Caenorhabditis elegans: one gene and its partner. The protein of the gene in region 2 purifies or fractionates together with the protein of the main gene of each other region. This does not show direct contact. Each region holds a gene or a part of one and is shown on either strand. Other genes may lie near its edges.

What was found. The genes of interacting proteins can lie anywhere in the genome.
Region 1: the proteins of mag-1 (region 2) and rnp-4 purify together in Caenorhabditis elegans (affinity purification with western blotting; 2 studies listed by BioGRID, with this or other methods). This does not show direct contact.

The regions. Positions count from the first base shown.
Region 1 is NC_003281.10:4,403,293-4,409,232, forward strand, and holds rnp-4 (RNA-binding protein rnp-4), read left to right. Parts: upstream 1-2,993; 5' UTR 2,994-3,025; coding exon 3,026-3,100; intron 3,101-3,150; coding exon 3,151-3,396; intron 3,397-3,703; coding exon 3,704-3,811; 3' UTR 3,812-4,031; downstream 4,032-5,940. Other genes in the region: R07E5.17 (uncharacterized protein), read right to left, coding at 213-268, 317-482, 530-791, 838-987, 1,034-1,119; snfc-5 (SWI/SNF Subunit INI1 DNA binding domain-containing protein), read left to right, coding at 1,497-1,735, 1,786-2,373, 2,418-2,600, 2,649-2,784; putative peroxiredoxin prdx-3, read left to right, coding at 4,152-4,310, 4,357-4,788, 4,967-5,056; gpch-1 (G patch domain-containing protein 1 homolog), read left to right, coding at 5,273-5,330, 5,375-5,842.
Region 2 is NC_003279.8:11,909,905-11,915,622, reverse strand, and holds mag-1 (Protein mago nashi homolog), read left to right. Parts: upstream 1-2,945; 5' UTR 2,946-2,946; coding exon 2,947-3,006; intron 3,007-3,077; coding exon 3,078-3,476; 3' UTR 3,477-3,594; downstream 3,595-5,718. Other genes in the region: hda-3 (Histone deacetylase), read left to right, coding at 764-964, 1,825-1,965, 2,077-2,498; NEDD8-conjugating enzyme ubc-12, read right to left, coding at 3,708-4,156, 4,203-4,296; rbm-3.2 (RRM domain-containing protein), read left to right, coding at 4,667-4,688, 4,882-4,960, 5,046-5,202; rbm-3.1 (RRM domain-containing protein), read left to right, coding at 5,649-5,673.

The sequences.
Region 1 (5,940 bases), on a different chromosome or scaffold from region 2:
TTTCTTCTAGATTTCGCTGAAAATCATCAAACTCAATGTTTTTTTTTCTTCTGAAAAGAAATATATAACTAAATATTATTTACTAAAATTTATATAATTAGAAAATTGTTTATTGTCAATTTTTCAGTAGCACAAACCAGAACTGATGTATAAGCTGTCAAAGTTGAAGAAAAAATCGTGGCATTTTTTTTGAAAATATTGAAGAAACTCACCGCATTTTGTGGAAGACTAGTGCTGTTTATGCCAAATTGGAAAAAGGGATATATATCTGAATAGTTTCAACAATTAAAATTTAAAAATATTTTTTTCAACTTACCTGTATTATTCTCTCCACTAATCAAAACCAACTCATGTATACTGTAGTTTTGGCAAAAATCTGAATTCTCAAAATAAAAATCTTCTCTGGTCGAATTTTCCGATATTTTGTTATTTGGAAGTCTGTGTTTAGTTTCTGCATAGTTTTGAAATATTTGAGTATTAATCTGAAAATACTACATCTTTAGAATGCCGAAATAATATCAAAACTTACCATTATATCATCTAATTCTATGAAAATCGAACTATTCCCACTTTTTTGAATTCCAACAACCACATTTTCACAGATATTTCCATTTTGAAAAGGTATTCTACATTCCATATTTCCCTTGGATTTATGAAAACATTCAGACATTTCTTCAGAATTTTCCCAAAAGTTATAAGAAAATTGAGTAGAAGCTAGACACTCCGATGATTTGATAACAGTGAAACATTTATCCGAAGATTGAATTATTGAACAATTCCATTTCATTTTACTGAAATTCTATTAATTTTTCTGTCAAAAAACAATTATTGTGATACCGGGCCAACTGAGGTGTTACAACTGGGTACTGTAGATCATCAAGAGGAAATGTTGAAGTTTTCGAGCTATCTGTTGGTTTTTCAAAAAAATCTTGAAAGAAAGAATCAACAAGAGTAGGAAAACCTCCAACTACGCGAAACGGATCAAATCTAGAAGAAATAAACCGTTTTTTTAGAATCCGAAATATGTACATACCCCAGGTTAATTGGAATTTCCCAATTACCAAGCCATTTATAACATAGAAGAAAAAGTAACCAGTTGCAGATAATAATAAATTTCATCTAAAACGTATATATTGCTAGGAACACATTTTTCCATGACCCCTTTCTCTTCAATTCCTTCGTTTCCATGGTAATTCCAATTTTAGTTGCCGAAATTTGGTAGTGTGCAATTGCGCCCCCTTGAGATACGCACGCGGCACGCTTCGCGTAGAACAGAATTTATTACTCGAATTTTGAACGGTATTCGCTTCTGTTTTCATGTTTTTCATGTTTTTTTCTTGAAATATATAATTTGTTTCAGCTTAAATCATTTGAATTACTATCATAATTTATTGTTTTTCTATTAGAATAGCGTTTACAACCACTGCTATTTGAAATTATCCGTTTCGTCGCATTTTACTCCCAGTTCTTGACATATTCGTATTATGTTTCAGGTAATGTCGAGCAGCACGAAAACGTTGTCTCAAACTTACGGACCACGTCCTCAGAGCTTCAGTCTAGATGAAGCCGGAGAAAGATACTACATCGGTTCTGAAATAGGTGCCTATCTTCGTCTCCATCGTGGAACTCTCTACAAGAAGTATCCATTATTATGGAGAAAAGTTGCAACTTCGGATGACAAAGACAAGCTGAAGCAAATTGCAATGTCAAATGCTTTTTTGCATACTAATATCATGTGAGTATAAAAACCAAAGTGTCAAATTTCATTCGGCAAGTATTTTACAGGCTGCTGAGAGCGCATGAAGTAGATGAGCTTCTCGATGGTTCCGAAGAAAAGTACCGAGCGGCTGGAGCAGCGCCTTCAACTCCAAGAACTGAAGGAGCTTCTAGAACTGTCGCTAAAACTCCTGCAACTGGATGGGCAGGACAACAAGTCACCAGCGGTTCACATCATCTCGAATCCGTTCCATGTTCTTGTCCGATAGCTCATTCTAGAGGAAGAATGAAGCATCGTGAATTAGTATATTCAGCAGAAGATTTAGAAATGTCGAAACGAGTGATGAAAAATGCTGAGGAAGGAGAAGATCTTGTGCCAATTCGATTGGATATGGAGTTGGATGGAATCAAACTTCGCGATACGTTCACTTTCAATAAAAACGAGAAAATGATCACTCCCGAGATGATTGCCGAAATTATGTGTGAAGATCTTGATCTACCATTGGCAGTTTTCCAGCCTGCTATTACTGCAGCAATTAATCAGCAGCTCGAAGCTTCTACAGAAGCGCCACCATTGGATGTGAACATTTGTGATCAGAGAGCCGTTCTCAAGTTGAATATTAATGTTGGAAACCAGAGTTTGGTTGATCAATTCGAGTATGTTGGAAATGCTAAAGACTGACAATTCATTTTAACTTCAGGTGGGATATGTCGGATCCTAATAACAGCCCGGAAGAGTTTTCACGAAACATCTGCAAAGAGCTTGGCCTCGGTGGTGAATTTATGTCAGGAATTGCATATTCAATTCGCGGACAGTTACAATGGAATCAAAGAACATATGCGTTTTCAGAAAGCCCACTGGCCACTGTTGATTGCCCGTTCAGGTAAATTTGATATGAAATAATGAATTTTTGCAAACCAATGCTATTCAGAACATCATCTGAAGTCGAATCTTGGGGTCCATTCCTCGAAACTTTAACCGACGCTGAAATCGAAAAGAAGATGCGTGATCAAGACAGAAACACGAGAAGAATGCGTCGTCTTGTTGGCGGTGGATTCAACTATTGAAGTATCTACTGATCTCTACGAAATCAACCTGTATTTAACGAATTTTAACCATTTTATCTCAATATTTTTAATGTGCACTTTCTTTTAATTTATTCTTTCCTCGATCTTTTCTCTACATTTTCTCGTGTAAACTGCTCTTTCCAATAGGAACTTGTGGCGGTTTTCAAACTGAATGATCTAACTGAAAATATAAATAAATAAAATTTCAGAGCCCGATCGTCTCAATCGCTTGAAGAGAAAAATGAGCGACAACGAAGTAGAGATGGAGGATGTGGTGGCCAACGCCGAGAGATCAAGAGGTCGAGGACTTGCGCAGGTAAATTTTGTCGAATTTTGTAATCAATAATCAATAATATATTTTTCTAGAGTCGCAATCGCGAGAGGATCACCTACGACGTGGTCGATGAAGAGTCGTCTGCCACAAGCGGAGCACCACAAAGATCCGTTGAAGGATGGATTGTCTTCGTGACAAACATTCACGAAGAGGCAACAGAAGATGATGTTCATGACAAGTTTTCCGAGTACGGAAAAATTAAGAACATTCATTTGAATCTCGACAGACGAACCGGTTTTTTGAAGGGATACGCACTGGTGGAGTACGAAACGCAGAAGGTAATATTTTAGCAGTCGTCGTTTCTATCGAAATCATTTACTATATATAAAGCGCTTATTCTGTGTGTCCATAGTTTGTAGTCTATGTAGTCTTTGTAGTCTGTGAAGTTTTGGCTTCTGTGGGGATAGTGAGTTGGGGTTAGTGTAGGGATATAGTCGGGGTACTGTAGTGGTACAATAGTGGTACGGTAGGAATACTGTAGGGTTACGGTAGTTTCAGAAAAATTAGTTTTCAGCCCCAGAAGTGGGGGGCCGCGCCGGAGGTGCGGTCCACGGCTGGTATCAATATAAATTATTTATTTTCCAGGAAGCCAACGAAGCTATTGATCAGAGCAACGATACAGATCTTCTCGGCCAGAATGTCAAAGTCGATTGGTGCTTCGTCAAGGGAAAGAAGACTTCTGGAAAGCGCTGAAAACCACGTACTTAATTGTCCTCTCCAATCCACGTTTTATGTTTTTTTACACGTCACTGTTAAGTTTTTCCTTTTCTATTTATTTTTTGTCCTCTTTCCCAATTTACCATTCGAAATTTTAAATATCTATTTGGTCTCAACTCGCTCGCTCTTCTCAATTTTGCGATTTTTGTTATCTATGTGACACATGCAATAACAGTGAATAAAATGACCATTTTTCAATTATCTGCTGTTGCTATTTTCTTTTTATCGTTAACCAGTTTGGAACGATTTGATATCTTCAATTGTTTCGTAGATCAAATTCTGGAAAAAAAGATTTCTGAATATCTGAGTTTTGCAGATGTTTTCTTCTGCTGTTCGAGCTCTTTGCCGCACGGTTCCTACTGTTGCCACCCGCCAGTTGAGCACATCTCGTGCTCTTTTGTCACTTCGTCCACTTGGACCAAAAAATACTGTCCCAGCTTTCAAAGGAACTGCTGTCGTTGATGGAGACTTCAAGGTTAAAAATAACAAATATATATATTTTTTTCAAAAATTAATTCCAGGTGATTTCTGATCAAGACTACAAAGGAAAATGGCTCGTCATGTTCTTCTATCCACTTGACTTCACCTTTGTATGCCCAACTGAAATCATCGCATACGGAGATCGTGCAAACGAGTTCCGTTCTCTTGGAGCTGAAGTTGTCGCGTGCTCGTGTGATTCTCACTTCTCTCACTTGGCCTGGGTTAACACTCCACGCAAGGACGGAGGACTCGGTGATATGGACATCCCTTTGCTCGCTGATTTCAACAAGAAGATCGCCGACTCGTTCGGTGTGCTCGACAAGGAATCCGGACTCTCATACCGTGGACTTTTCCTCATTGATCCATCTGGAACTGTCCGTCACACTACTTGTAACGATCTTCCAGTTGGAAGATCTGTTGATGAGACTTTGAGAGTGCTCAAGGCATTCCAATTCTCTGATAAGCACGGAGAGGTGAATTTTGAAATTTACAAAAAATTTAATTTCTAGCAAAAAAAATGCAATGTTTTTTTTCCGAAACTTTGGCCCGCCATAAAAATATTTAAATTTTTGTTGAAAAGGAAATCGGTCGTTTCGGGCTAGTTTTAGTCCATTAAAACAAATTTCGACGAATAAAAAATTAATTTTTCAGGTTTGCCCAGCTGATTGGCATGAGGATTCTCCAACCATCAAGCCAGGAGTCGCTACCAGCAAGGAATACTTCAACAAGGTCAACAAGTGATCACACAGAAACAGAACAATTATTTTTATTCTTTGTATTTATCATATTGATGATTTAGTTTGTCGGTTTAAATAAATAGGTGTCATTCAGCTCGAGTTTTTTGAAATTAATTTTGGAAAATATACGGTTTCAGAAAAATCCATTAAAATATTGATTTTTGTTTCCTAAAAAGTTTTGGAAAAAAATGTGAATTTCATTTCAGATTTTTCTAAATAAATGAACAGGAAAAAATTAGCAGCATATGGTCAGGAATTCGAAGATGATGACGAAGAAGGTCTGCAATTTTACAGTTTTCAGGAAAAAAATAAATAATTTCAGGAAGCTCTGTATCAAAAAAGCCAACTCAAATCCACGAAGAGATAGCAACAGATGAAAAAGGAAAACGGAGATTCCATGGAGCCTTCACTGGAGGATTTTCAGCTGGTTATTGGAATACAGTTGGATCAAAGCAAGGATGGGTTCCTCAAGTGTTCTCATCATCTCGGAATGAACGTGGAGAACAAATAAAACAAAGAGCTGAAGATTTTATGGATGCAGAAGATCTTGGAGAATATGGAATAGGGAATCGATCGATAAAACAGACTGCGGCATTTGGTGAAGGAGCTGGACAGAAAAGGAAAATGGCTTGGGAACGGGATACGACAAGTATTTCAACGATAACTCAGATGTTTGAGGATGTTGTGAAGCCTGTTAGTAATTCGATAGGAGTACGGATGCTCCGATCAATGGGATGGAGAGAAGGACGAGGCATCGGATTGGCAAATGTTAAACAGAAACAGAAGAGAGGTTCGAGAGCATATCTAATTGAAGGAGGAGTTATCAAAAAAAGTTTAAATTAGTCTGAAATTCTTAAAATCCATAATGGAAAAAGGGAAACATCGCAA
Region 2 (5,718 bases):
ATTAACTATAAAATAAGATTTTTTGGCGAATTTAATTTCAGCTAATTTTAATTTTCCGGCAAATTGGCAAACTGGCAAATTTTTGCCGGAAATCGGCAAATTGTCTGAATAGAAAATTTCCGGCGAGTTGCCGGAATTTAAGTTTTTGGCAAATTGCAGGAATTGAAATTTTCCGGGAAATTGCCGATTTGCCAAATTTGCCGGAAAATCGACAATTTTCCGGCAAACTGCCGGAATTTAAATTTTTGGCAATTTGCCGGAAATTAAATTTTCTGGAAAAACGGCAAATTGCCGGAATTTAGCATTTCCGGCAAATCGGCATATTGCCGGAGTTTTTAATTTCCGGCAAATCGTCAAGTTGCCGGAATTGACAATTTCTGGCAAATTGTCGGAATTGAAATTTGCTGGAAAATCGACCATTTGTCGGTAATGAAAATTTCCGACAAATTTGGAAAATTGCCGGAATTGAAATTATCCGGCAAAATGTCGATTAGCCGAGTTTCCCGGAAAAACGGCAAATTGCCGGAATTTGAAATTTCCGGCAAATGTGCGAATGGCAGGAATTGGAATTTGCCGGAAACACGGCAAATTTTCGGAATTTAAATTTCCGGCAAATCGTCAAATTGCCGATAATGAAAATTTCCGGCAGATCGGCAAATTGCCGGAATTTACCATTTCCGGCATATCTGCAAATCGGCAAACCGGCAAATTGCCGAAAATAGCTACATTTATTTCAAAAAATTTATGAAAAAGTTTTTTTCAGACGTTGGCGCTGGAAGTGGCAAGTACTATGCTCTGAATGTTCCACTTCGTGATGGAGTCGATGACGTCACTTATGAACGGATTTTCAGAACAATTATGGGAGAAGTTATGGCAAGATTTCAACCAGAAGCAGTTGTGCTCCAATGTGGTGCCGATTCACTGGCAGGAGATCGGCTAGGAGTATTCAATTTGACTACTTATGGTTTGTGTGTGTCGATTTACGAAGAAGCTCTCGTGTACTCCTCGTGGAGAAGATTTTCTCAGTTTTCGGCAAAAATTCTCGATTTTGGATCATTTTCGCTAGTTTAAACTAAAATTTTCACAAAAAATCAAGAAAATTCGTTAAAATGGTGATTTTCGCGGCGAGACCCATCCGAACTCGTCTGTGCGCCTTTAAGTAGGAATTGTGGAGAAATTCGGAATAATAATAGCAAAATCACGAATTTTAAGTAAAAATTGAGAGGAAACCTACCTAAAAATGGGATTTTTATCGGAAAAAGTGCTAAAAAATGCTTTTCTCACTGAATATATCGGAATTTCTTAGTTTTTGGCGAAATTTTGTGATTTTGGGCCATTTTCACTAGATTTAACACTCAAAAAATCAAGAAAAGTCGTTAAAATAATGCTTTTCGCGGCGAGACCCATCCGAACCCGGCTGTGCGCCTTTAAATAGGAATGGTGAAGTAATTCGGAATAACAATAGCAAAATCACGAATTTTAAATAAAAATTGAGAGGAAACCTACCGAAAAATGGGATTTTTTCGATGAAAATTACTGAAAAATCGGATTTTTTCACGAAAAACATCAGAAAAAACGGAAAAAATTCAGTTTTTCTCGGAAAATATGCTAAAAATTGCCTTTTTCACAAAAAAAAAAACAGATAATGAGTTTTCTATGACAAAAACAATTTTTTAAAACGTATTTTTAACGAAAAACATCTGAAAAATCACGGAAAAAAACTCCAATTTTTCCCGGAAAATGACCAAAAATTAGATTTTTTCATAGAAAATAACCAAAAAATTGGCCTTTTTCTCAGAAATAAGCAAAAATTTTTTTTTTCAGGACACGGAAAATGCGTGGAATACATGAAAAGCTTCAACGTGCCGCTTCTGTTAGTTGGCGGTGGTGGATATACGATTCGAAATGTCTCCAGATGTTGGCTGTACGAGACGGCGATCGCTTTGAATCAAGAAGTTTCAGATGGTATGGAAATTTCGATTTTTCCCCCGGAAATTTGCGAAAAAACGGCTTATTTTCGGCAAAAAATCTTGAAAATTCGAATTTCCCGCTAAAAAATGCCAATTTTTCTTCCAGATCTGCCCCTCCACGACTACTTTGACTACTTCATCCCGGACTACAAACTACACATAAAGCCGCTCGCCGCTCTTTCGAACTTCAACACTCCTGAATTCATTGATCAAACGATTGTCGCGCTTTTGGAGAATTTAAAGCAACTTCCACACGTTCCATCGGTCCAAATGCAATCGATTTCGACGAGTTGTGACTCAATTGTGAAGACTTTTGACGAGAAACTGATCCGAGATCATCAGAATGATGACGTCAGAGTTACTCAGTTCGAGGAAGACGTTCAGGTGGAAGATTCGGCGGAATTCTACGATGGTCAAGAGCCGGAGACGAAGAATATTCAATCGATGAAACGGCACGCGAGTCCGATTTGTGCGGCGCAAGAGGAGATGAAGAAAAATCGGATTGATGGCGGCGAAAATGTGGCATAATTTGGTTTTAACTTGATTTTCTGTATGCACTAACTTTGTATTTATATCGTCTCTTCAAACTATTTCTTTAATTTATACGAATCTCAACTTCTCTAAACCTCTATTGATCCTCAAATCTATTTAAATCTTTCGTTAAATCGACAATTAAAAAATTTCCGTCGTCAAGTGTGGTGCCGGTGGTGCATACACCGCCGCGCACAAATGCACAGATTTCGGCGTTTTCGAATTTTTATCGGATTTCTTTTCTCTATATTTTAAAGGATATTTTCTATCGTTTCTTGTCTAAAAACACAGTTTTTATCGAATTTATCACAATATAAACCTATTTATCATCTTTCTTTTGTGAATTTTCACTGAAAAATCAGGTTTTTTTACCTTGAAATTCTAATTTTCACCCGGTTTTATTTAATGGATGTTTGGATTTTCTCAATTCCTATTTATTTTCAGAATGAGCGGCGAAGAAGAGAAGGCAGCGGACTTTTACGTTCGTTACTACGTTGGACACAAGGTAGGTCTTGGAAAATCTTGGAAAAATGACAATTTTCGCCAATTTAAATTAGTTTACGAAACAATTTTCAGGGAAAATTCGGTCACGAATTTCTCGAATTCGAATTCCGTCCAAACGGATCGCTTCGCTACGCGAACAACTCCAACTACAAGAATGACACGATGATCCGCAAAGAGGCGACAGTGTCGGAATCGGTGCTCAGCGAGCTCAAGCGTATCATCGAAGACTCGGAAATCATGCAGGAGGACGATGACAATTGGCCAGAACCAGACAAGATTGGACGCCAGGAGCTGGAAATTCTGTACAAAAACGAGCACATCTCGTTTACGACCGGCAAAATCGGAGCTCTAGCCGATGTGAACAACTCGAAAGATCCGGATGGTCTCCGCTCGTTCTACTATCTCGTTCAGGATCTCAAGTGCCTCGTCTTCTCGCTCATTGGCCTTCACTTCAAGATCAAGCCAATCTAATTTAATTCCTTCAGACTCTGTTCTATTTTATCCACCAAATCTCTTTAACTTGTTTAATTTATTCGATTTTCTCTTCTCTTCTTAAGTTCTCAAATTTCTCAAGAATAAATTTTATTTCTTTCAAAAAGTACAGTTAGAAAAAGTCTGAGAGGTGGGGGAAAAGTTAGAATCAAAATCAATTTCATAGGGGGGGTCAATTCACAGGCCATTTGTAATCCGATCCGTTGGTCCTTAGCAATATCTAGAAATGTATTCCCGAACACGATGATTGAACGATTCGCGATTCTGACTCCACATCTGGGCGGCTTGAATGTTCAGCGCGTCGTTGAAGTCCATAAGATCGTTGAACAGTGAGACGAGTCCGTGGACGACGTCGGTGAGGTTACGCGTTGGACGCCATCCGTATTGATCCAACGAGTTTTGACGCAAAATCGATAGACAAATCGATCCGTCCTCGTTGATATTTGGATGCCAAACCTTTGTCAGGCACTTAACAACGGGCGGCACGTTGTTGTACTCTGGCGGGACGGTGATCTTGAATCGGAATTTGCCTCCACGATAGATTCCTTCTTGAGGTGTCACGGTGAGTTCCAACTCATGAAGACACGATGTTGATGGGACCTCGAGATGCCACAGCTTTTGCTTCTGATCGCGAAGAGCAGTCTCCAGCTGTTGGAGTTCTGAAAATGTTGTAAAATCAAAATTTTTTATAAAGCAGCCACATACCCTGAGCTAGGAGCTTGTCACGGACGGCGATGCGGGTTTCAAGATACCGACCGTCCTCGTTGTTGCCGTTGATTCGTTTTTGAAGATTGAACATTCTGAAAGCGAAAAATTAAGAAATACGATAATTTTCAGCGATATAGGCGGCGCATACGGAAACATAGAGAAAATAATCGTTTTTTTGGCAAAATTACAGTGTAAAAGGGTCAAAAATCGATGAAAATCTTGTAATTCAGCGAAAAAACGACAAATTACGTGAGAAAATGAAACAATTGCTATGAAAAATGACAGAGAATGAGGAATAAAAGACGCAGCGTTTGCTAACGCTGAAATGACTAAAGGGGGCGGAGCGCGAACGCAAGGCTGGCACACTTTTACCGCAAGTGCCGCACGGTTTCCCACGAGTCGGAGGAGGCAAGCGAAAACGATTCGAATCACACATATTTACGCTCCGGCCTAAAATCGTCATGTCTGGATTCTCTGTTTACGGTTAGTTTTGTTAATTGTAAATTATTCAAGTAGAAAACTGGAATATTCAGCTTTAAAAGCAGATTTTAATCGAGAAAAGCCGAATTTAAAGTCTGGCCTAAAATTTTTATTTTTCTCCAGGCGTTTTTCTATTTATTGTATTTGATTAGGCTGAGATAATTTGAGTTTTTAATAATTTTAATGCATTTTTCAGTCGGAAACGCTCCATTCCAAACTACCGAGGACGACCTTGGCAACTACTTCAGCCAGGCTGGAAACGTCAGCAACGTCAGGTAAGCTTCTCTCCCCGAAATCTCCTCTTCCCGAAACCTCCTGAACGACGACCCGTTAACTCTCAATATGAATCTCTATTTTCAGAATCGTTTGCGACCGCGAGACCGGACGTCCACGTGGATTCGCCTTCGTCGAGTTCACCGAGGAGGCCGCTGCCCAGAGAGCCGTCGACCAATTCAACGGAGTCGATTTCAACGGAAGAGCTCTACGCGTCAACTTGGCTCAAAACAGAAACAACTAATTTTCATATCGGTACTTTGTTACTTGTTTGATCTTTAATGATCTCAATAATAATAAACCCATGAAATCGTTATCATAAATATATATGCTCTATTTTTTTATTTCGAATCTTCATTTGGGGTCAATCTGATGGCAAGCGTTGAGGCTAGAAGCTTGAAGGAACGGCTTCGGTTCGAGCAAGTTTTGAATCCTGGGCTATGCGCAGCCCAATGTGAGCTTACAACTGAAAATTCAAGTTTCAACACTCTTCGCGGTCTTATTTTGGACTAATTCCTCATATTTTCAGCTTGAAATGGAAAAAATCTGTCGAAATCGATGCTATTCGAGGGGCGGGGCCAAAACGCAACCCTGGCACGGTTTTTACGCAACTGCCGCACGTTTTCTCCAAGGCAGGGTGAGCGGAAAAATTAAACCGTCATAAATTTTCTGCTACGGCCTAAAATCGTCATGTCTGGAATCTTCTCTGTTTACGGTTAGTTTTTTAATAATTTATTTTAAGTATTAAACAATCGGAAAC